Oryzias latipes: one gene and its partners. The protein of the gene in region 1 interacts with the protein of each later gene in a biochemical or structural test. Links are inferred from orthologs where the notes say so. Each region holds a gene or a part of one and is shown in the gene's direction. Other genes may lie near its edges.

Region 1 (5,475 bases):
TCATTAAAAAAAAGAAGGTAAGGTTCTTCCGTTTTTTTTTTTAACACAAGCGATGCTAGAAAAAGTAAAAGAATTGACATCCACTAAAACAAAATTCTAACTTAAGCTCAAACCGTACATGGACCTTGAAGATTAAAACACTAAAAAACAAATCTGTTTCCTTTTTTGTTGGCTATGAAATGTGTGTTTGCTATATTATCTCTATTTTTTGTTTGTGGATCCATGAAGAAAGACTTTTTTAGTCATTTTAATAAAAATGTCAGTCATCATGGTGTCAGATAAGCCCCACTTTTTCTCTGAATTCTGACTTTTTGTTTTCCCTGGTTGATGTTTCGTCAGTTTTGATTATTTTATGCTTTTCTAGTCTTTGTTTTCCCCCTTCATTTGAATTCACTTCCACGTGCTTTTGAGCAATACAGCAATGAGGTGAACACCTAAGAGTTCTGTTAGCAAATGTTTCACTCACTGTGCTGGTTCAGCAGCATCCTGATGGATATTCTACTCATGTAAAACCGATCCAGAAAATACTGAACGTTCTGGCTGACGACTGGGTCGGTGCCGTAGGTTTCCTTATACTCCACGACGCCTTGAGCCATGGTGGGAATCACATCGTTGTGGCGGTTTCGGATTTTGATGACTGCATCTGTGAACCTGATCAAAAACCCGTTACAGGTTGAATGTGTAAAACCAGACTGTAGAACTGGTCCACTAGTAAAAACGACTCACTCATGTGTGACTTTTTCATTGTCTGCATTTTTGTCCTTGAATTTAAGGATGTCCTGGAAACTTTGCATATACCTAGGGATGGAAAATATCCATAAACGTGTGTGCAAACAGAAAACTCATAGGAAAATATTAATAAAAACAAAAGCACACCAGCTTTGGACCAAGCTAACTGATGAAGTTCTCAGCAGATTATCTGGCAGCAAATTAATTTCCTTCATGATGTTTGCCAGCCTCACAGGGAGCTCTTGTCTGAGGAAGGCGAAGGATGTTTTCTCACATGCATTTTCAGAACCTGAAGGAAGACAAAAACATGGAGGACTTTCAAAAATACTTTAAAGTATCCTTTAAAATTCCAACCATAAGCTAGAATACACACACATAGAGAGAGGGGGAGTAAATTACAACTATATTTAAAGCATCTAAAATTCATTTTACCAAAATCCAGAAACTGCTTCATGGATAAAGGCGAAGGAGAAAACTTTGAGTAATAGTCAATGTCCTTCCCGACCGCCACGCTCTTCCTCAGGAACCTTAAAAGCCTCATGTTGCTCTCCGGCCTCGACTTGATCAGATTTCAAACACACACGACACGTCCGAATTCTTATGGCGCACGCGGCCACAACAATAAATATGTGACGCTTGTTGACACACTAGCTTGTTGGCTAAACTCAGCAGTTCGCCCGCACGTTTGCGATTATCGACCGTGTTTCCACTTGGACTGAATTCCTGCTGCAGGCATGGTCACAGACGGACTAAAGCATCATCCCTCACTTCGGACGTCCTCTGTAAAATTCAGTCAAAAGTCAACACGGCAAACGCACCCACTCCGCAGCTGAGCTAGCAAGTTCAAAGAGTTGATTCGACGCCGAGAGAACAACGCAACTATTTTGCAGTAGTCTTTATAAAATAAAGATGACAACTTTTATGCAATTTAAATAGATTATTCTTCTGCTTTTATTTTATGGTGGTTGGAATACAACTTTTGGGATGTTCGCCACCTACAAATTGATCACTTTTGGTTCCTAACCCGCATATCAGATGGGTTAGATTAGACCGCTAAAAACACCACTAATGTAGAAAGTAATACATATTTGCGTGACAAATAAAATATATGTTGTTTTACTTTAAAGCGTTTAACAACAAAACGAATTTATATAATTTTAATTATTTAGCAAAATGCAAGAGGAATTATTAACATGTAGTTCATATCTACGACACTAAAAAGTGCGTTCTGTGCATCTCTTGTCCTCTATTAACTCTTTGACTGGTTGAAATGCCGTCGCTCTGATCCCCAGTGCTTGTCTGTAAGGTTAAAAAATAAAAACCAATCAAATGTCAGCATTTTTCATTTCGGCACAGTAATTTGGTGTTAAGGATGTCAATCTAAACTAGAGGGTGGGGCTTTTTCTCTGACAGACAGAATTGAGGGCAAAATTGCATGTTGAAAGTGGCGTCACTTCCTTTAGCTACAACAGAAAGTATGCTCAAAGAAACGTTTGGTCAGTTACCCACGTTTTTTTTAAAGATGCTTCGCTAGTATTATTATATTTACCGGCACAGTGAAAGAATTAGTTATTAGACTATGATTTAAAATATCCGTGGCTAACGTAAGAAGTCCTCTCATTAGACGGTTTTTCTTCGGTGAAGCTAGTTGAACCGGCAGCTCGTGCTAGCGACCCGCCAAAAACTGTGGTGAAAGATACCATTTTGTTCGTAAGCTGTAAAGTCATTTTGTTTTTATCAGAGGAAGAACATGAGTGGCGGATTCAACTTCGGGCAACCTTCGGGTTTTGCCTTCGGAGCGCAGAAGACCACAGCGGCCGCTCCGGCCCCGGGCTTCAGTTTAACGAACTCCACGGCTGCGGCTTCGGGAACGGGCTTCTCTTTTGGCACTCCGACTCAGAGTCAGACCAACGCCAACCCGACCGGTGGCTTCAGTTTTGGCGCACCGGCTAAGAACTCTTCCGCCGGCGGCACCGGCTTCTCCTTTGGCACACCCAACGCCGCCGCCGCCACCGGCACGTTCGGCCTGGCCACGACTACCCAAACCACCGCCGCCACTGGGTTGACCTTAGGCTCCTCGGCCGCTCCAGCTGCGGGGTCCGGCTTCACCCTGGGCGGGATGTTGTCTTCGCAGACGAACAGCGCCGCTCCAGCGGGAGGGGGCTTCAACTTTGGGGCTACCTCCCAGGCCCCACCCGCAGCGACAGTTGCACCTACAACAACCACCGCATCAGGTGGCATGGCTTTCGGAGGGTTCAGCTTCGGAGCGCCGAAAGTCCAGGTGACCTCAGCTGCAAGCACAACCATCGCAGCGGGGGGAGGAGGCTTCAGCTTCGGGACCCCTGCCCCCTCCACCCTCACCCAGCCAGCCCCAGCAGCTGCAGCTCCAGCAGCTCCAACCCAGGGTGGAGGGTTTAACTTCGGAATTAAACCCTCATCAACACCAGCTCCTCCCGCATCCACCCAGTCAGCCCCCACCCAGTCAGCCCCCACCCTAGGCCTGTCTCTGTTTGCGTCACCTATCATCACAACCTCTGCAGCAGCGCCAACTTCAGGTTTTACTTTGGGTGCAGCTCCAGCGTTGTCAACCAGCATGGCAGCATCCACAGCTGCAGGTACAGCTCCATCCTTCATGCTCAAGCCTCTGGGGTCCGTTGCCAGCACAGCAGCAAACACCGGCTCCACCACCACCACAACAACTGCAGCTGTCACAGCTAATGCCACCGCAGGCTTCACGCTGGGATTCAAACCTCCGACCATCTCAAGCTCCACAACAGCCTCCACAGCAACAGCCGTTACAACCACCACCACGGCCCCTCCGGTGATGACCTACGCCCAGCTGGAGGGTCTCATAAACAAGTGGAGTCTTGAACTTCAGGACCAAGAGAGGCATTTCTTACAGCAGGCAACTCAGGTCAACGCTTGGGACAGAATGCTGGTGGAGAACGGGGAAAAGATCACGTCTCTGCATAAGGAGATGGAGAAGGTGAAGCTGGACCAGAGAAGGCTCAACCAGGAGCTCGATTTCATTCTGTCCCAGCAGAAGGAGCTGGAGGACTTGCTTTGCCCTCTGGAAGAGACTGTGAAGGAGCAGAGCGGAACCATCTACATGCAGAACGCAGACGAGGAACGCGAAAGAACATACAAGCTCGCTGAGAACGTGGACGCCCAGCTGAAGAGGATGTCACAGGACCTGAAGGAGATCATTGAGCACCTGAACACATCCAGCGGGCCGGCAGACACCAGTGATCCAGTAAGATCTGAGCCTTTTTTTTTTAAATCATATTTCTCATAAAATCAAGTCTTCTGCTGTTTTAATCGCCTTCCTTTCTTTTTGAATCCTTTAGCTTCAGCAGATTTGCAAGATCCTGAATGCTCACATGGATTCGCTGCAGTGGATCGACCAGAACTCTGTCCTGCTGCACAGAAGAGTGGAGGAAGTGTCCAAACAGTGCGACACCCAGCGCAAAGAGCAGGAGAAGACCTTTCGTCTAACCTTTGACTGATTTGTTTTTTGGCTCAGTGCTTATTTTTCCCATTTTGCTTTGGATTTTCTCCTTTATTATACTTCTATTGTGTGTTGCAAAACTATTTTAAATGCAATCATCTTTATAATTGTATCTACCTGAATAGAATGATTAAAAACAAATTTTGAACTTTTTTGTGTTTTCACATCCTAATTTTACCTGTTTTTTATCTATATTTAGGATTGAAAAACATCTAATGACAAGATTTGTTTCTTGTTCTAAGACTGATGTTACCCCTTGTGCTATCTTAGATGACCCCACCCTTACATTGACGTGTTCTCCCTACCATGACAAAGGTGGAAAGATTTCATGTAATCCATGGACACCAGTGAAGATCACAAATCATTGAAGAAAAAAGGTTCAGCGCACTGTCTAGTGGGTCTAGATGACCCCACTCCCAATGTTAAAGTGCCTAGGATAGCACAAGGGTTAATACTTGCAAGGTGGATTTTCAATTAGGATGTTTTTGCTATGACACTCGTTTGAAGGGGAATTGACTTCAGCATTTGTTTGAGTTTTGTCAAAACAATGTTTTAAACTTAATTTACGGAGAAGCTGAAGATGTTTTTTTTTTTATATAGAAAAGGAAGATTCATTAGAAATAATTCTTTAAATTGTTTTATATATGACAAAAAGAAGCAGTTACACCCATAAAAACAGTCTTTTTAGCACATTCCCTTTGGATTGAATAAAAATAAAAACAATCCGATTCAGTGATGATCTAAAGTACAGTGGATGCTACCTGAACATCACAGCAGTGAGAGATTTCAACTTGACGGGAACACAGGCGATGAGTAAAATGACATCATTCCACAGTGATGGACTTGTACCTTTGCATAGATTTGACAACAATAGCATCTCAGCTGTAAACCTGTTATTACGAACCTTTGGCACCATGTTTTTTTTTATACAAAAATAAATACAAAATGTGCAGAAACCATAAAAAACAAACAGCACATAGAAAAATATATCTGTACAGTGTCAAAATTCAAGGTACTGAAACCAGTAAATCCTGGATTTACACATTAAAAATGATGTCAGCAGAATGATTGATTATTTATCGAACAAATGATCTCAGCTTTCAAGAGTAACTTTCACTGTCCATCCATGATGTCATCCACTGCTTCTTTTCAGTAACATCAGGTTTGAGTTTTGCATCTTCACGCTCGACACTCTCCTTCCTTATCCGCACCGCGTGGTACTGAGGAACGCTGTCGTC
Region 2 (5,009 bases), on another chromosome or scaffold:
TATAGAATATTCTGAGAAGATGTCTGAACCAGAGAGCACAGGTGAAGCCTCACCTGCAGCTAGAGAGCAGAAGAATCCACACACACCCCCAACACACGTGTGCTCCTTCCTCCAACACACACACACACACAGTCATTGTACAACACCTATATGGTTAGTTCCTTAGATAGTTAGTAGTTAGTTGTGACTGTTATTCGTTAATAAAGAATCCCAAATCCTCCAGCGCCCCCTGCTGGTTCATCACAGCGGTGATCAAAAATCCCACACCATCACAGCTCTAGCGCCACACTTGCCTGGTGTGTATGCGGCTTAACGGGCGGCGCCGCTGTGAGACGCTGATGGCTTTCCACCCCCTCAGGCCTTCTCGTCTCTGGCGGAGGCGGCGTACGAAGCCACGGACGCGGCAGAGGACCAGGAGGAGCCCAGCACCTACTGCCTGTCCTCGTCCTTTGAGATCATCGTGCAGAAGCTGCTGGAGACCACCGACAGGTACCGCCTTCCTGGCCGTGCAGGAGCAGCGGTCTCAGCGGCGCTCCGTCCCGTCTGGTTGGTGTGACACAGTTGTGTGTTTGTTGTGTCAGGCCTGATGGTCATCAGAACAACCTGCGCTCGGCGGCCTACGAGGCTCTGATGGAGATCGTGAAGAACAGCGCTCAAGACTGCTACCCCGCCGTACAGAAGACCACGCTGGTCATCATGGAGCGCCTGCAGCAGGTCTTGCAGATGGAGGTAAAACTGGAACCTGGAGAAGAAATGAACAGACTCAGGAAGTCCACTGTAGTCTGTTGTGATGCAACTTCCTGTGTTTAGTCCCACATCCAGAGCACCTCGGACAGAATCCAGTTCAACGATCTGCAGTCCCTGCTCTGTGCCACGCTGCAGGTAAGACTCAGCACTTCCTGTCTCACTGTGGCGGTCTCTGGGCACTTCCTGTCTCACTGTGGCGGTCTCTGGGCGCTTCCTGTCTCACTGTGGCGGCCTTTGGGCACTTCCTGTCTCACTGAGGCGGACTCTGGGCACTTCCTGTCTCTCTGTGGCGGACTCTGGGCACTTCCTGTCTCACTGTGGCGGCCTCTGGGCACTTCCTGTCTCACTGTGGCGGCCTCTGGGCGCTTCCTGTCTCACTGTGGCGGCCTCTGGGCACTTCCTGTCTCTCTGTGGCGGTCTCCGGGGGCTTCCTGTCTCTCTGTGGCGGACTCTGGGCGCTTCCTGTCTCACTGTGGCGGCCTTTGGGCACTTCCTGTCTCACTGTGGCGGACTCTGGGCACTTCCTGTCTCACTGTGGCGGCCTCTGGGCGCTTCCTGTCTCACTGTGGCGGCCTCTGGGCACTTCCTGTCTCTCTGTGGCGGCCTCTGGGCACTTCCTGTCTCTCTGTGGCGGCCTCTGGGCGCTTCCTGTCTCACTGTGGCGGCCTCTGGGCGCTTCCTGTCTCTCTGTGGCGGTCTCCGGGGGCTTCCTGTCTCTCTGTGGCGGCCTCTGGGGGCTTCCTGTCTCACTGTGGCGGTCTCTGTGGCGCTGTTTGCAGAACGTGCTGAGGAAGGTGCAGCACCAAGACGCGTTGCAGATTTCCGACGTGGTCATGGCGTCCCTGCTGAGAATGTTCCAGAGCACGGCTGGCTCTGGCGGCGTGCAGGAGGATGCTCTGATGGCCGTTTCTACTCTGGTTGAAGGTATGTTCACGTGCACACGCCTGTGCATGTGCGTGGCGCTCCGATAACTCCTGTGTTTCTTTAGTTCTGGGCAGTGACTTTCAGAAGTACATGGAGGCTTTCAAGCCCTTCCTCGCCATCGGACTGAAGAACTACGCTGAATACCAGGTGAGCCCGCCTCTCGGACGCTCTTGGGGGTGAAGGGTGAGGACGGCCTGAGCGTCATGTGACCTCGTTGCAGGTGTGCCTGGCGGCTGTGGGGCTGGTGTGCGACCTGTGCAGAGCTCTGACCTCCAACATCCTGCTTTACTGTGACGAGATCATGCAGCTGCTGTTGGAGAACCTCGGGGTGAGCTGAGACGCCACCGCTCTTCCCAGACAGGAAGTGGGTTCCCGCCCTCATTGGGGGTGTGTGTGTGCAGAACGAGAACGTGCACCGATCCGTGAAGCCTCAGATCCTCTCGGCGTTTGGAGACATCGCTCTGGCAATCGGTGGAGAGTTCAAGAAGTATCTGGACATCGTGTTGGACACCCTGCAGCAGGCCTCGCAGGCGCAGGTGGACAAGGTCAGGAGCGTGCACGTGTGTGACCTGCAGCACACCTGCTGACATGCACAGGTGAGATGACGATGACTTGTGTTTCAGACGGACTACGACATGGTGGACTACCTGAACGAGCTGAGGGAGGGCTGCCTGGAGGCCTACACCGGCATCATCCAGGGCCTGAAGGGCGACCAGGAGAACGTGCACCGTAAGAGCGCGCTCGCACACCCCTTTGGTCACATGACAGCAGCGACGGCGGTTCCTCTTCCTGTCTGAAGTCAAGCAGGAGGATTTTACGCCGTCGCAGAGAACTGTGGGTCTTTTCACCCAGAAAGCTGCAGGTGGAGCCCGCCAACACGGCTCTCTGGTTTTGTGGGACCCCACAAACATGTAAACAAAGATGTAAACAATCCAAGCCAGACGTAAACAACAGATGTAAGCAGATGCTCCGCCCTCTTGTTCTGCAGCGGACGTCATGCTGGTGCAGCCCCGGGTGGAGTTCATCCTGTCCTTCATCCACCACATCGCCGAGGATGAGGATCACTCTGACGGAGTGGTGGCCAATGCTGCCGGCCTGATCGGGTGAGGGGCGGGGCTAGAAGGAAATGAGGCGTCTAACAACCTGGCTCCAGGCTAAATTGGAGTTGAATTGTTCTGAAACATTTTCTTAAATCCTTCAATGTACCGTCTATAAATCAGTAAAGAGGCTGTTATAAGCAGCCGCAGGAAATACTGGAATGACAGAAACGACCAGAAGATGCTGCTGCTGCAGATGCAGCTGCTGCAGCTTCTGCAGCTGCTGCAGATGCAGCTGCTGCAGATGCTGCTGCATTCACTTGAATGCAGCAGCATCAGCAGCAGCTGCAGCTGCTGCAGATGCAGCTGCTGCAGATGCTGCTGCAGCAGCTGCTGCAGATGCTGCTGCAGATGCTGCTGCAGATGCTGCTGCATTCACTTGAATGCGATGCTGCATTTCCCGCCGTTGTCGTGTGTAGAAAATCTACCTGCACGAACAAGTGGGGTTTGAACAGACCCTACTTCCTGTTTGTGCGGGGGCCTTGCTACATTTGTTGGGACCAAAGACCTGGTGGGTGGCACTGGGTCTGACCATGGACGGTTTCCGAGAACTGGACTGAGTGACTCCTCCCCCTGGCGTTCCAAACAGGAAGTAGCTGCAAAATCCCACAGACCTCTAGAGAGAAATAAACAGCGGTGACTCTGTCATTCTATTGGTCGGTATGGCTGTAGCATGTTGACTCTCACAGTAAAAGCCTCAGCATGGTCACTTGTCTGTCGCAGCGACCTGTGCACGGCGTTTGGAAAAGACGTGATGAAGCTGGTGGAGGTGCGCCCGCTCATCAACGACCTGCTGACGGAGGGCCGGCGCTCCAAAACCAACAAGACCAAGATGCTGGCCACCTGGGCCACCAAGGAGCTGCGCAAGCTGAAGAGCCAGGCCTGGTGAGCGTCCGACCTCTGACCCCGCCCTGCTGCGCTGCAGCGGCGAGTTCACGTGTGTCTGTGTGGTTGCAGATGGGGGGCATTCGTGACATCAGAGAAGCTTAAGGATGAACGGCGCCGGACGAGCGTGTTGGAGCGCCGCCGGCTGCAGTGAGATGAGTGTCTGTGTGAGCGCGATGATGACATCACCACCTCCAGTTCCAGCAGGCCACACCCCCACCACCCCTCCCCCTCCCCCTCGGACAGCCTGCCGACTGGACTCTATCCCCGCCCCTGCAACAAACCCGCCCCTCTGCTCGTTTTCTAGCTGGACCCCATATGACATCATGATGATGTCACCGGCCCACTGCTCCCAGCAGCAGGGTGGGGGGGGTGGGGGGCTGGACCACTCTGGACTTCTGGGTTTTTGTCGCTCTTCTTTTTCTTCTTCTGAGCGCGGTCGTGTGCTCAGACCCCGCCCCCGCCAACAGCAGCACTAACCCGTACAGGTGAACGCAGAGGAGCAAGTGCCAAAGGAACGCGGCGGCGGTGGCGGCCGGACTGGAGCTTCAGCCCCGCCCCTGCTGCTCGTGGGAGCAGTCCCTCAGCGTTTGTGCGCGTTGACACGATTTCAGAGAATTGAAGACGTTTGTAAAGGTTCTATTTTTCCATTGCTGTTAAAAATAAAATGTTATCAAACATTCCCGAGCAGTGCTGTGATTCTGGCTTCCTGCGGTCCACGCCCCCCCCACTGGACTTTGGAAGCTGGACTCCGGACGCCCTAAGGACTTTTTTTAGTCTACTGTTGGGGGGCCGTTGCGGTCTGGGTAGAGCTGTCTGGATCCTGTGGTTTTACCATCAGTGTTCAAGCTGCACTTGTGTGGGCTTTTATTTTGAAAAGATGCTGCAGCTGTAGGGAGAATGCACTTCCTGTGTACGTGAACCACATGCTGGATTGTTGCATTGTGAATCACTTGAAGCCAGTCTTCTTTTCAACTTTAGTGAACTAATAAAGTCTATATTGTTCTGAAGTTCTGCTTCTGTCGTCGTGATGAAGACGCTGGTGGACCTGAAGGTCGGCGACTTCCTGGAGTCTGAGGCTGTTCATTAAAGCACATCTGAAGTGTGGTTCCGTTTGGGAACCACAGACTCTGCTGGGCCACCAGAACCGAGTGAGGATCCAGGAGATCCTGACGGAGGCCAGCCGGGCCGGTGAGGCTCCACCTTCTGAAGTGTCTGTTAAGTGTAATCCTGACCTCCTGTTTCCTCTGACCTCTGACCCCTCCATATCACTCTCATACAACGGGACTGCCCCCCCCGGGCGGGGGGGGGTTGAAAGTGAACCGACAGCTGGTCATGAACTGTAACGTGACCTGT
Region 3 (5,583 bases), on another chromosome or scaffold:
CAGTTGATAAAATGTGGTTTCATTTTGAATTTGCTTCATGAAAGATTTTCAGGGGTTGGAGCTGGAACTCGAGGCATGTCGTGAGGAGCTCACCAGGATCAAAGCAGAGTATCGGGATGCAGTTCCACAACACGACTGGGATGCCCTGCAACAAACCCACCAGCGGACTGTTCTGCAGGTTCTGGGTCTTCACTATCCCTCACTTCCAAACCTTTACACACAAAAATTATGTTTTATGAAATTAGAACTCTTAATTTTCTGACTTTAGAACCCATTAACATGGATAGTTTTTACATCCTAAATCCTAATCAAGTTTGTTGCGTTGTCCAGCTAAAGACTCTGCAGGGTGACTTCAAGTTGATAAAGAGTGAATACGATACCCTGCTGGAACTCCATAAAAGTGGCAACTTGCAGCCCAAGAACCAGGTGTCAACCTCTGTGCAGGTAATGTGCTTTATCGGCTCTTGTCTGGTTTGTCTGGTTAAATCTCAGCAGGTTCAATCTGATTCAAACCAAACTTCCCTTAAAAAATCATGTAGTTCAAACAGTTCCTTATCTGGGGCGGTGATTATTATCCTATAAAAGCTCTAACAAGGAGGAAAAATGTAGAAATAGGGGCCATAACTTGTCCCCTGCTCTACTCCAAATGCACATGGCGTTTAGCCTTGGCTTCCCTTTGTTCACTTCAGCTCTTTGGTTCATTGGAAATCCTCAGCAGATGAACTAAAATCCTTGTTACTATGCCAACCGTGGTTCTGGTGATCTTTGACACCTGTCAAACAAACTGGACCATCAGTGGAAATGTACAGATCAAGCTTGCCAGTGTGAGTGCACTTTTTCAACAAAATGTTCTTCTTAAAGCTCAAACCAGTGGTTTGTTCTTTTCCAGACGGAGGTTCATGTGGATGAAGAACAGGAAACCAAACCAGAACAGCTCAATAAGCTGATCAACCTCCATGACCACAAGGAGTAGCAGGCTCATGAGTTCAAATTACATCAATATATTCACACAATTTAAACACACACAGTGTGTTGCTTCAGAGGGGCGTGAAATCTATGCCATGCCTTTTGTAATTGTTTATTATCTTATCTTAATTTCTTTTTTTTTTTTTTGCTTTCGGAGTCTCTTCTTATCCACAAGTCCTGCATCATACATACACTTTTCATTTCTATTTAGCACAGCTCAGAAGTACTGATTAAAATGACTTTTTGCAATTTGATTATTGAATTCTATCTTTGCACTGCAACCAAAATATGATTTTTAAGAACCGAAAATAGTTTTACAAGAGTGAATTTAAACACTAACAGCATGGTGTGTCTCAAAAACCAGAGAAACTGAAAACATTTTCCTAATAAAATCAAATGTATATACAAAATTGTTCCAAATGTTTCCTGGGGCCCAGGACACAACTGTTACATCCCACCAGCCCACTGAACAGCAATAACTGGCTCCCTATTGGTTTCCTAAACCCACATTACGACCACACTCAAATTCCTGAGCAATGTTTTAAACTAAGTTAATGATAAAAAAAGAAAAATTAGGGGTATTTCAGGAATTTTTGTGGGTTTTAGGCTGACTCCGTGGCTCTCACCATACCATCCACTAACTCCTAGTTTTCTGTCTTACTACTTTATGATGTAACATTTAGATATCAGTTGTTTTATGTAATTCATGTTCATAAATTTGGACAGAAGATTAATTGTGACTTTTGTAAACAAAACAAAAAAACAACAACAAAAAACACTGATATATTTAAATTGTAAATTTTGATTTTCTGACTTTGGGTAAAGAAATATTTTTAACTATTACTCTTTGACATCTATATACAGGTATCCCTATTGTTAGTGTGTTAAAAAATGAAAATACTTAAGACATTTCCACTCCCTTTTTTAAATTCCTATTTGGGTTTTTTTTAATTCACGGTCTGACCAAACTGTTAATTCTTATTTAGAGAAAGTGGGACACTCAGTGCTAGAAAAAAAAGACATTTCTGTGCCTCTCAGTTCTGGGAATGATGGATTAAAATAGCTCAAAAATTATTATTTTTAACAAACTAGTGGTTTTTGATGTTTCCTATCTTGTATCATAACTGTTTGGTCGGCGTAATTTTGGAAAACAACGGGCACTTGCTTTTAATTCTAATTTACTACAGTCCCCACAATACACCGGGGCATTTACGGCTCTGTACGTGCTCTCGTAACGTAGAAGATATCGAACTGTACCATCACGCAGCCGGGGTCGGCGACAGTGAGAGGTAAGTTTGCAGTACTTGTGTGCACATTAGTGAATGGAAACTCTTGCGAAACTAAACATTTGCAGTTTGGATGAAGGTTTGAGGAAAGTTCGCGATGTCTTTGTACTTCCACGCGCCGTCTCTTTGGGGCCAACGGACGGCGGACACTCCTGTGTGTGTCGTCTCGCCACTCCTGCTGGTGGGTGTTCCAAAAATATGTGCGCGGGCCCACAGGAGAAATCAGCACAGTGCTGACAGATATTTTTAGAAGCCGGTGAGAAGGCCTGTCGGTCTGTCAGGGAGACAGCGAGGCAGCCACCGCCTGAGAGAATAATTTCTCTACTGGCTAACATTAGCACCCGTTGAGTTAGCAAACAAGCTAGCAGCGGCTTCCTCATTATGCTATCTTTAAATACGAACTTTTCTACTGTTGTAGCATTTGTTTCTCTAAGTAGTATTTTATTCCTTCACTGTGCTGTCCTCTTTGTGTAAGGGGGTGTGCACTTTCTGCAGTCTCGTGCCCACCCGGGTTTTTCTTTGCTAATGTTTAGCTAGCATAGATCGTTCCAGCAACAACCGTGCGCCGTTATGAAGGAGCACGTGACCAGTGCTGTCATTTCCGCGGTGGGACCCGATAGGTGGCGCTCAATCAAACAAACATTCACCGGCCACTTTATATGTACAACCGTGACAGCATTATGCATTTACGAGATTTTAATTTGTTTTGTGGGAGATAGAAAAAATTCACAGCGGTAATTAAGTGATGACACTACCTCGAAAACAGTAGAGCATCAGTGGGAAGTGGCCTCCCCAAAAAACAGCTGACTCCACTTGAGAATTTCCCACTTCCTTATTTGTTTGCATCTATTATTCATTATTCTAACTAACATTTCACCAATTATCATGTCTAAATAAACATGTATGAATAAATCTCATCAGGGGGAAAAAAACAGCTCTTTTAGACAGGAGCGACAAGTTTCTGTTACAATGACATTTACTGTTGTGCATTAGATGAAAAGAAAAGATCTATCAACAAAGTTAAAGAATAAAAAATCTAATTAGTCACTGAATACTCGCGTAGAACGACTAGCAGAATGTCTTTCTGCCTCCTAGAAATTAAGCTGGGAGTTGGATCCACAAAAGAAGAGTCTGCTAGCTGAAGTCTCTGACTCCATTCTGGTTTTGGAAACTTTAAGAATGACCAGTAATCATCATCCCTGTTGTGTTGCAGGGTGATTCAGGATGGTGGACCAGCCTCTGTGGGAGCAGATAGGATCCAGCTTCGTGCAGCACTACTACCAGATGTTTGACTCTGATAGGTCGCTGCTCGGATCCATATATGTGGGTGTTTCTGTGTTTGTTGCTGTGTGTTTTCCTTAACTAAATCAACAATTTGTGAAATACTTAAACCTATGCTAGGGTTTTCCATGCAAAGATGAATAAATAAGAATGATGCACAAACATTAAGCATATGGAAACTTCAGCTCTTAATGCTACCTTTTTGTAATTCTCACTTTTTTTCAAAACTTAGTGGTTTATGACTGAACATATTTGTGATGGTAAAAGGCACTGTGGTTTTGTTAGTTGGGTTATGTTTGACGTCTAAAAATATAATTGTATCTGATCTGTAGCCAGATGTTCAGTGAATAGCAAAGCTACACCTTTAGATATTTACATCTCTCTATTAATAAGAGATCTGGTCTTGTACACGATGACATCAATGTCAGTGACTGTTCATTGGTCAACAGTCATGTGACTGCATGCCTTTCATACACACCCACTACTGCCTGAAAAGTATACAAGTAACACAAGGAATATTTGAGAACAGTCATTCCACGTGTGTTTGTTTTGTTTACAGTAAACTAAAAAGGATCCTCTTAATAAATAAAAAAAATTAGAAACTGTTTCGTTAATCTACTGCACATAAATCATTTAGACTTACGCAGAACTATCTAGAATACTGGAAACGGCCATAGAAGAAGAAATGGAGAGTTTCGTTGTAAACAAAGCTGTGGCATAGAGCGAGTTAATCTTCTAAACATGCTTTTATTATTGTTATGATTATTATTAAGTACCTGTTCGCTCCTAATTTTCTAAATGTGTGTGGCCAGTGCTTTATTGCTGGCTGCACGGAACCGGTGTAGGTACCACAACCGTTCGGCCTGGAACTTCCGTTCGGGGTCCTTTCGACTAATGGTAATGTCACACTACGGTAACCCCACTTAGACAAACTTTGTAGCGTCGACATCTGCTCGGGCTTTACAAATTTTCATTTCACGTTCCATTTTGTAACCTAAAGTTATTTTCCCTCATAAATCGTATCGGACAATATTCTTTGTAATTTTTATAAAGACATGTTGCCACAATCCACTTGTTATTCCAGTTTAAGTTCAGCCGTGGCTGAAAATGTTGCCGGCACGGCTAAATGTTCTTCCGGGACCGCTCTGCCAATGATAAAGCACTGGGCGCACGGAAAAAAAAACTATAAGCAAACACGCATTCAATAATAATCATAACAATAATAAAGGCACGTTTAGAAGAGAATTTCGCTTTATGTCGGAGCGCTGTTTGTTTACAACAGACTTCATAATATTTTCTTCTATGGTAGTATCGTAATTTGTCAAGACCAATGACTATCTGACACGTCATCGGACCAACCTTCAGCCAATCGCATAATGTGACATCAGCATTAGTCCGAGGACCCCGAACGGAAGTTCCAGGCCTAACGGTTCTGGTACCGGAAGAACGGTTATGGTACCTACACCAGAAGAAGAAGGGTTAGGATTGGGCTAATACGTACTAACAACATTTAGCCGTGGATGAACTTGAAAACTCTGTGCGGGCAATGCCGCAATGGGCATCTTGGCTGCATGTAAATATGTGGGAATAACATCCGCCTTTATTTTGTCTGGACATGATTGGAAACACAAATTCACATGATTGTTTATACGGTTTCTCAGGACTGTGTGGAGTTGCATTTCTGCATTCAAAAGCTGCCTCCGCCAGTTCACACATCGTTCCAAAGCCACTCCTCTCCTCAGAGACACCGTTCTCCCAGGAGACACTGTTCTCCTGGGTCAGTCTGCTTGCTCACAAAGAACAGCCAGACGGACTGCGGTCCGAAGCCTCCTCCGGAGCGCACACCCTGACACCTAACCACCTGCTCGCAAACAAGAAGCTATGAGTCGGTCCGTCCTGTTCGCGCTCCAAAGCATCCTCTGGAGTGGCACACTGTTTACACATGTTAAAACAAGCGCAGCATTGAGCCACAATCGGATCAAAAATTAGCATAACCCACCTATCTCGATCAGAAGGAAATTTTGATCCGAATGAGTCTGGTTGGGGCAGA
Region 4 (5,523 bases), on another chromosome or scaffold:
GATCATCACATTTTTTTGGCAGTTATGTTTGCTTCAGGAAATTATCTTTTTGCTTCCTACTTTCGACTGTGTCGAGAGTTTGTAATACATACTTATGTTTAAAGAGATAGATTGACTGTAATAACATTTTAAAATTAAGAAATGTAAACCTTAGTTTTAGAGAAAATTTAACCCAGATATTTCCATTTTACTTAAGTAGATTTATAATAAATAAAAAAACAGCATTCTGATTTGTTTGTCTTGTTCCAATAATGGCAAAATATTGGTATAAGTATTCATTTGTATTAACAATGAATCATGAAAATTTGATCCAATATTTTACTTTAAAACTAATATTCAGAATCATTAATGCCTTATTTGACATTGTATTCCTGCAACAAAATTTGAGTAGCTACTCCTTAAATAGTGCTTTTGAAAAAAAAAAAGCATTTTTTGTATTCATTCATACATGTACATGCACACTTAAAAAAACCAACAAAAATGGTGCATGCATGCATAGGAGCATAGATTAAAACAGTAGAGAAAAAAGGGTAAACAGTAGATTTTAAAATTTGCAGTAAACTGGTTTATTTGCAAATTTATGACAGATCACAGCATCAGCACACCAGCAACATTTTTAATATGTCAGAAACAGGAGTTTGTTTGTTTTTTTATCTTAAATGTACATTTGCTGTTTGCAAAAACAGGGTTAAAAAACATTTGGTTAAAACAAAAACTAATTAATTTAAACATAATTAAGAAAAGAAAAACAAGGGTTTATGTTTGGATATCAATGTTGGCAAAACATATTAAGGAAAAACATTAAATATTGGCAAAAAATAAGATGTGTTAGAAGATGTCGATTAATCTTGCAGGAAAATTGCTTGGTTGAAAAAAACCATAAACATACTGCAAGTCCTAGAAATATTTTAAAAAGAAATAGAAATAAAGTTGTTTAAGCTCGGGACTTGAAGATTAGAAGAATAGTTATTCTGGTGCAAACACATCCTGTCAGTGATGTTCAATGTAAACTGAGCCTGTTGGCAACTTCCTTCACATAGCAATTGATGTTGATTTAACCAGAACTCTATCCATCAGGCTACAGTTTAAAAAAAAATCAGTTGACAAAATATATGTAACTAGTAAGGATTAGTAAACAGTATTTATGTGGAAAGATATTTAACAGTAGATTGTACATTTAATGCTTGCTTTACACATTAAGAAAATACCCTTTGCAGTTAAAAATAAAATAAAAGCTAACACCTGTTAAATGTCCCTGGAATTACAAATCTTATCTGAACTTCTTTTGTGTGTATTTGAATATGTTTTTTGTGTGTGTCTATATATATAAAAACTACAAGAAGAACTAAAATAAAATAAAAAGATAAATAAAACTACAAGAAGAACTAAAAGAAAATAAAAAGAAATCAAACAACCCACGGTTATGTAATGTTGATGTGTTTGTTACTAGACCAGCGCACCTTCCACTTCCTCGCAGCACAGCTGACACGTGACTCTTTCAGATACCTCCGAGCAGTGCTGCTTCCTTTTACCGTTTGAGTCTCACTGCACCATTGTATTCTTCCGCGTGGTTTTACCTTAAGTGTATAATTTTACATCAGGTTATATATATGTATATGTATAACTTCTTAATACAATAAAAATAATAATGTATATTGGGTTTATAGTCACATGTATTAATGCCCAACTATTATTTTCAATCAATGCCGGTGTCAGGATCTAGTTGATCACAAAAACGAGTTCCACCCAATTCGCCATTTTACGTTCACTAGCTGCTTTGTTGTGCAGATAGAATATCGTGAACGGTAGCGGTATATTTTTTATGTCATATGTAGGTGCAGTAACTACATTATCTGTGTAAATATACCCAAACAGCGGCATTTTAAGGTAGGGCTTTAGGAAATTTATTCTGAATACGAGATTAGTAGGTAACTATAACCCGGTCTACCTAGCCAGACAACAACGTGCTTTCAGTTTTCGTCTCAGAAAGACCACAGTTAGTTATAAGAAATACATCTATTTTTCTCTGAAGCTGTGAGCTCCCAGACGACACATTGACGACCGCCGTGCAAGAAACGAAGACTGCTGGGGAGATGGCGAGTTCTGTGGGAAACGTGGCAGACAGTACAGGTTAGTGGCTCAAAAAAATAAAAGCACCTCCTTTAGAAAGAAGCAACGATTTAAAATAGTTTTTAAAAGTAAATTTTAATCTAACAATGACCCTTTTGGTAATCCACAGCAATAAGGTAAATGAGGATGCTAGTATGTAAACCAGTAGCGCCGCTCTTCTAACACCACGGTACCAATTTATATGTATTAATAGATATATTATAATAAGGCTATTTTATTATATTTTTCGCCAATTTGTACCGAATATTCCTTCATTTGGCGTCTTAACCTAAACAGTATTAAGTCAAGACGAGCTAGCGTTGGTATTTGTAGATGTGACGTTTAAATGGGTAGGAAACGATTAAATCTTTGGCGCTGCAACATTTTTCCTCCTTGGGCGTCACTATGTTCATACATTTTATTTTTTTAAATCCTAAACTGAACATTTATCTCGTGGTTTTTGTCTGAGAAAATGGCCGCCAGCTAAGGGGCGTTTCGGTTTGCAATAAAGGGCGCTGAAATGAAGTGTCCTACTAAAATGCCTTCAAAGATATCTTATTTTTTAATTCATTTTTTTTTGGGAGGGACGGCGAATGTTAGGGATATATGTTTTTCAAAATTAGAAAATGACGAACAAGCTCAGTTTTAACGATAAACTAACTTTAACGCGATTATTAGCAGATTTTGCGTGCGTTGTGGTGCAGTTTTTTTCCACACACCCCACCCCCACAATAAAGACCCACTTCGATGAAAATCGTGTTTTTAACTTGTTCGTGTAGCATTTTTCTTATAATGGATGATATGTAAAGAAATTTAAGATTAAAATTCAATCGTGAATTAGCAGCAGCAGATGATAAAAATGCTGTTGGAAAAAGCTTGTAGCAGTGACGTAGATGCTACAGTAGGTGGAGCCACAATCTCCCTGTTCTCTATCAAGATGCACCTGTTTGATGACGAATAGACTTAATAACGTTTTCGTTTACTCTGCATTTTGGAAAAGCTAGTCTGACATATAAATTATGCGTTTCCTTAGTTGGAAAAAAGCGTCAGTGTGCATTTTTTATATACATTAAATTGTAATTAATTTATATGTACAGATGCTTATAGTTTGTATAAAAGTTGTGAAGTGTCCCCCTTATGTTCCCTCTTGTGACGTCATCATTTTTACCCATTATCACATTTTGAAGTTACATTTGTCAGGCATTTATTTTAATACAAACATTGTCATGTTTGCTTCTATTTTTATTTCTTCCTGTTTTTTCATTTGTCGTCTTTATTTTCTTTCATCACCTCTAACATGTCGTTTCCCCCCTCCTTGGCCTGTGTTGGTTGTCCAGAACCAACAAAACGTATGCTTTCCTTCCAAGGGTTGGCTGAGCTTGCACACCGGGAGTATCAGTCAGGAGATTTTGAGGCGGCCGAGCGCCACTGCATGCAGCTGTGGAGGCAGGAGCCTGATAATACTGGAGTGTTATTGCTGCTGTCCTCCATTCACTTCCAGTGCAGAAGACTTGACAGGTGAGAACACTTTATACAGGCTGGCAAATGAGAGCAGCAGAATGGAAGGGCTTTACAAATGAAAGGATCAAGAAATGGTATTTCCAACACTTTCTTTATTGTTAGAAGAAACCAGCCGTTTTTTAGCTGAGGTGCTATTTCTACTTCTTAAAGAGGCCTCTATTGATGATTCCCTAATCCTTTGACACCTGAATTTATTTCCAGTTATGAAAACATGTTTTTGTTTTCAAGTAGATGCTAAATAAAATTGAGATGGTAAATTTGACAAGAACACATAAAATAGATATGATTTTAGGTAAGTCACAAATCATCGACAATCAGCATCTACCATACTGTTTCCAGTATAGAGAATTTTAATCATGCAACACATTTATTCCTAGTATTTTCACTCTAATCACCGACAGAACTGATAAACCTTGAACTAAAGTCAACACAAAGCTTATTGTAATTGGCCTCCCCAGCCTTATTTTAATTAACAATAAATTGTCTCAAAACTTTAGAGTGAAGTCTTTTGCCTCTTTATTCAGTACATATTTAACTTCCAAATTTACTCAAATTGTAATAACTGTAATGACTATTTTTCTTATAAAAAACCTAGATTAACTGATCTAAATGTTTTGAAATTATTGTTAACTCGTTTGAAGTAGCACAAGCAGTTTTGTTTGTCTGGACGATTGTATTTTATTTTTCTACAGCTTCTGCAAACATAGAAGGGACATTTTTTGATCATATGGCAGACTTTGAGGCAGTTTTATTCCAGTTGAAAGCACAGGCCAACTCTACATTTGTCACAAATCTGAGGGGTGCTTCTTTTGTAGAAAACACTCCTTTTTTATATCCACTCTCATTAGAAGAAAGTCAGAATGCAGACAGCATGATGTAAATTAGGCCTGCACAATAAGTCACAAATGTATCATTATTGCGATATCAAGCTGTGCAATACGCGTATAGCAAAAGACCGCAAAATTGCAATGAATGGTAATCTTAAATGTGCTAAAACAGTCTTATGGCAGCCTGAAGTATGTAACGAATCAAAAAAATCCCTTAATGCATTTGACCAATCGGATCTGTTATGTTAGATGTTGGCCTCCTATGTAGACTACGTTTAACTCTTATTTAAATTAAACTGTACCAGTGAACTGGGAATTGTTTTTGGTTGTTTTTCCATTTTTTTATGTATCGTAAGTTATGTCATCGTCATGATATTGATCACTAATACCGCATATTGCGAGTGTTCCTCATTTTGTGCTGCCCTAATGTAAATCAATGACAAATCTGTATGATTTGTGTAACACAAACAATGCAAGTAGCATGTTTGCTGAAATACATCTTTGTTGGTACAGATATGCAGCAATGCAATAAAAGTAAATAAAAAAATCGGAGTACCACAGAAACATGACAGCAATAGTTAAAATTACACTTTTCTGGTAAATCTAATCCTTGGCACTTTTTTGTACATAAATGTTTTACTTGCATGCGGGATGAAGACCGTCCTGCATCTCCTGATTTTCCAACTCCTCTTCTTTCAAAGTTCTGACAAGAGTTTTGCTCTGGTTGAATTCCTAGACATTTTTTCACAATAATAACTTATATTTACAACATAAATTACGATGACACACTTTTAAAAACACAGCTTAAATTATGTATATTTCTTCTAACAACTATCGATTGTCTATTTGTTGATTGTCAACATCGTTGCATAAAAATTCGACACCGTGGAAACCACTGCAACGACAGGAAAGTTATGTAAATCAGCGCAAACGTGTGTTTTCTGCCGCTGGTGACCGTGTCGGTGTTGAGGGTTAACTGTGTTTATATTTTTGCTCACAGGTCTGCTCACTTCAGTACTTTGGCCATCAAGCAGAATCCAATGCTTGCAGAGGCTTACTCCAACCT

Evidence for each region.
Region 2: the proteins of nup62 (region 1) and kpnb1 form a complex in vitro, tested with the Homo sapiens proteins (2 studies listed by BioGRID). The link is inferred for Oryzias latipes from reciprocal best matches to the Homo sapiens genes NUP62 and KPNB1.
Region 3: the proteins of nup62 (region 1) and nutf2 form a complex in vitro, tested with the Homo sapiens proteins (3 studies listed by BioGRID). The link is inferred for Oryzias latipes from reciprocal best matches to the Homo sapiens genes NUP62 and NUTF2.
Region 4: of the proteins of nup62 (region 1) and ogt, one has a biochemical effect on the other in vitro, tested with the Homo sapiens proteins (2 studies listed by BioGRID). The link is inferred for Oryzias latipes from reciprocal best matches to the Homo sapiens genes NUP62 and OGT.

The regions. Positions count from the first base shown.
Region 1 is NC_019879.2:22,073,270-22,078,744, reverse strand, and holds nup62 (nuclear pore glycoprotein p62), read left to right. Parts: upstream 1-2,163; 5' UTR 2,164-2,479; coding exon 2,480-3,982; intron 3,983-4,076; coding exon 4,077-4,235; 3' UTR 4,236-4,389; downstream 4,390-5,475. Other genes in the region: pdk1 (pyruvate dehydrogenase (acetyl-transferring) kinase isozyme 1, mitochondrial), read right to left, coding at 467-651, 727-798, 877-1,018, 1,162-1,270; itga6 (integrin alpha-6), read right to left, coding at 5,338-5,475. UniProt on the Homo sapiens protein: Essential component of the nuclear pore complex. The N-terminal is probably involved in nucleocytoplasmic transport.
Region 2 is NC_019866.2:166,462-171,470, reverse strand, and holds the end of kpnb1 (importin subunit beta-1), read left to right. Parts: intron 1-358; coding exon 359-489; intron 490-581; coding exon 582-729; intron 730-810; coding exon 811-882; intron 883-1,526; coding exon 1,527-1,671; intron 1,672-1,735; coding exon 1,736-1,818; intron 1,819-1,891; coding exon 1,892-1,999; intron 2,000-2,072; coding exon 2,073-2,216; intron 2,217-2,294; coding exon 2,295-2,400; intron 2,401-2,442; exon of another isoform or gene 2,443-2,580; intron 2,581-2,659; coding exon 2,660-2,774; intron 2,775-3,491; coding exon 3,492-3,653; intron 3,654-3,725; coding exon 3,726-3,726; 3' UTR 3,727-4,663; downstream 4,664-5,009.
Region 3 is NC_019864.2:24,337,052-24,342,634, forward strand, and holds the start of nutf2 (nuclear transport factor 2), read left to right. Parts: upstream 1-2,151; 5' UTR 2,152-2,255; intron 2,256-2,277; exon of another isoform or gene 2,278-2,433; intron 2,434-3,465; 5' UTR 3,466-3,476; coding exon 3,477-3,575; intron 3,576-5,583. Other genes in the region: tsnaxip1 (translin-associated factor X-interacting protein 1), read left to right, coding at 45-178, 331-444, 890-973. UniProt on the Homo sapiens protein: Mediates the import of GDP-bound RAN from the cytoplasm into the nucleus which is essential for the function of RAN in cargo receptor-mediated nucleocytoplasmic transport.
Region 4 is NC_019868.2:18,365,683-18,371,205, forward strand, and holds the start of ogt (UDP-N-acetylglucosamine--peptide N-acetylglucosaminyltransferase 110 kDa subunit), read left to right. Parts: upstream 1-1,767; 5' UTR 1,768-2,093; coding exon 2,094-2,130; intron 2,131-3,446; coding exon 3,447-3,627; intron 3,628-5,457; coding exon 5,458-5,523. UniProt on the Homo sapiens protein: Catalyzes the transfer of a single N-acetylglucosamine from UDP-GlcNAc to a serine or threonine residue in cytoplasmic and nuclear proteins resulting in their modification with a beta-linked N-acetylglucosamine (O-GlcNAc).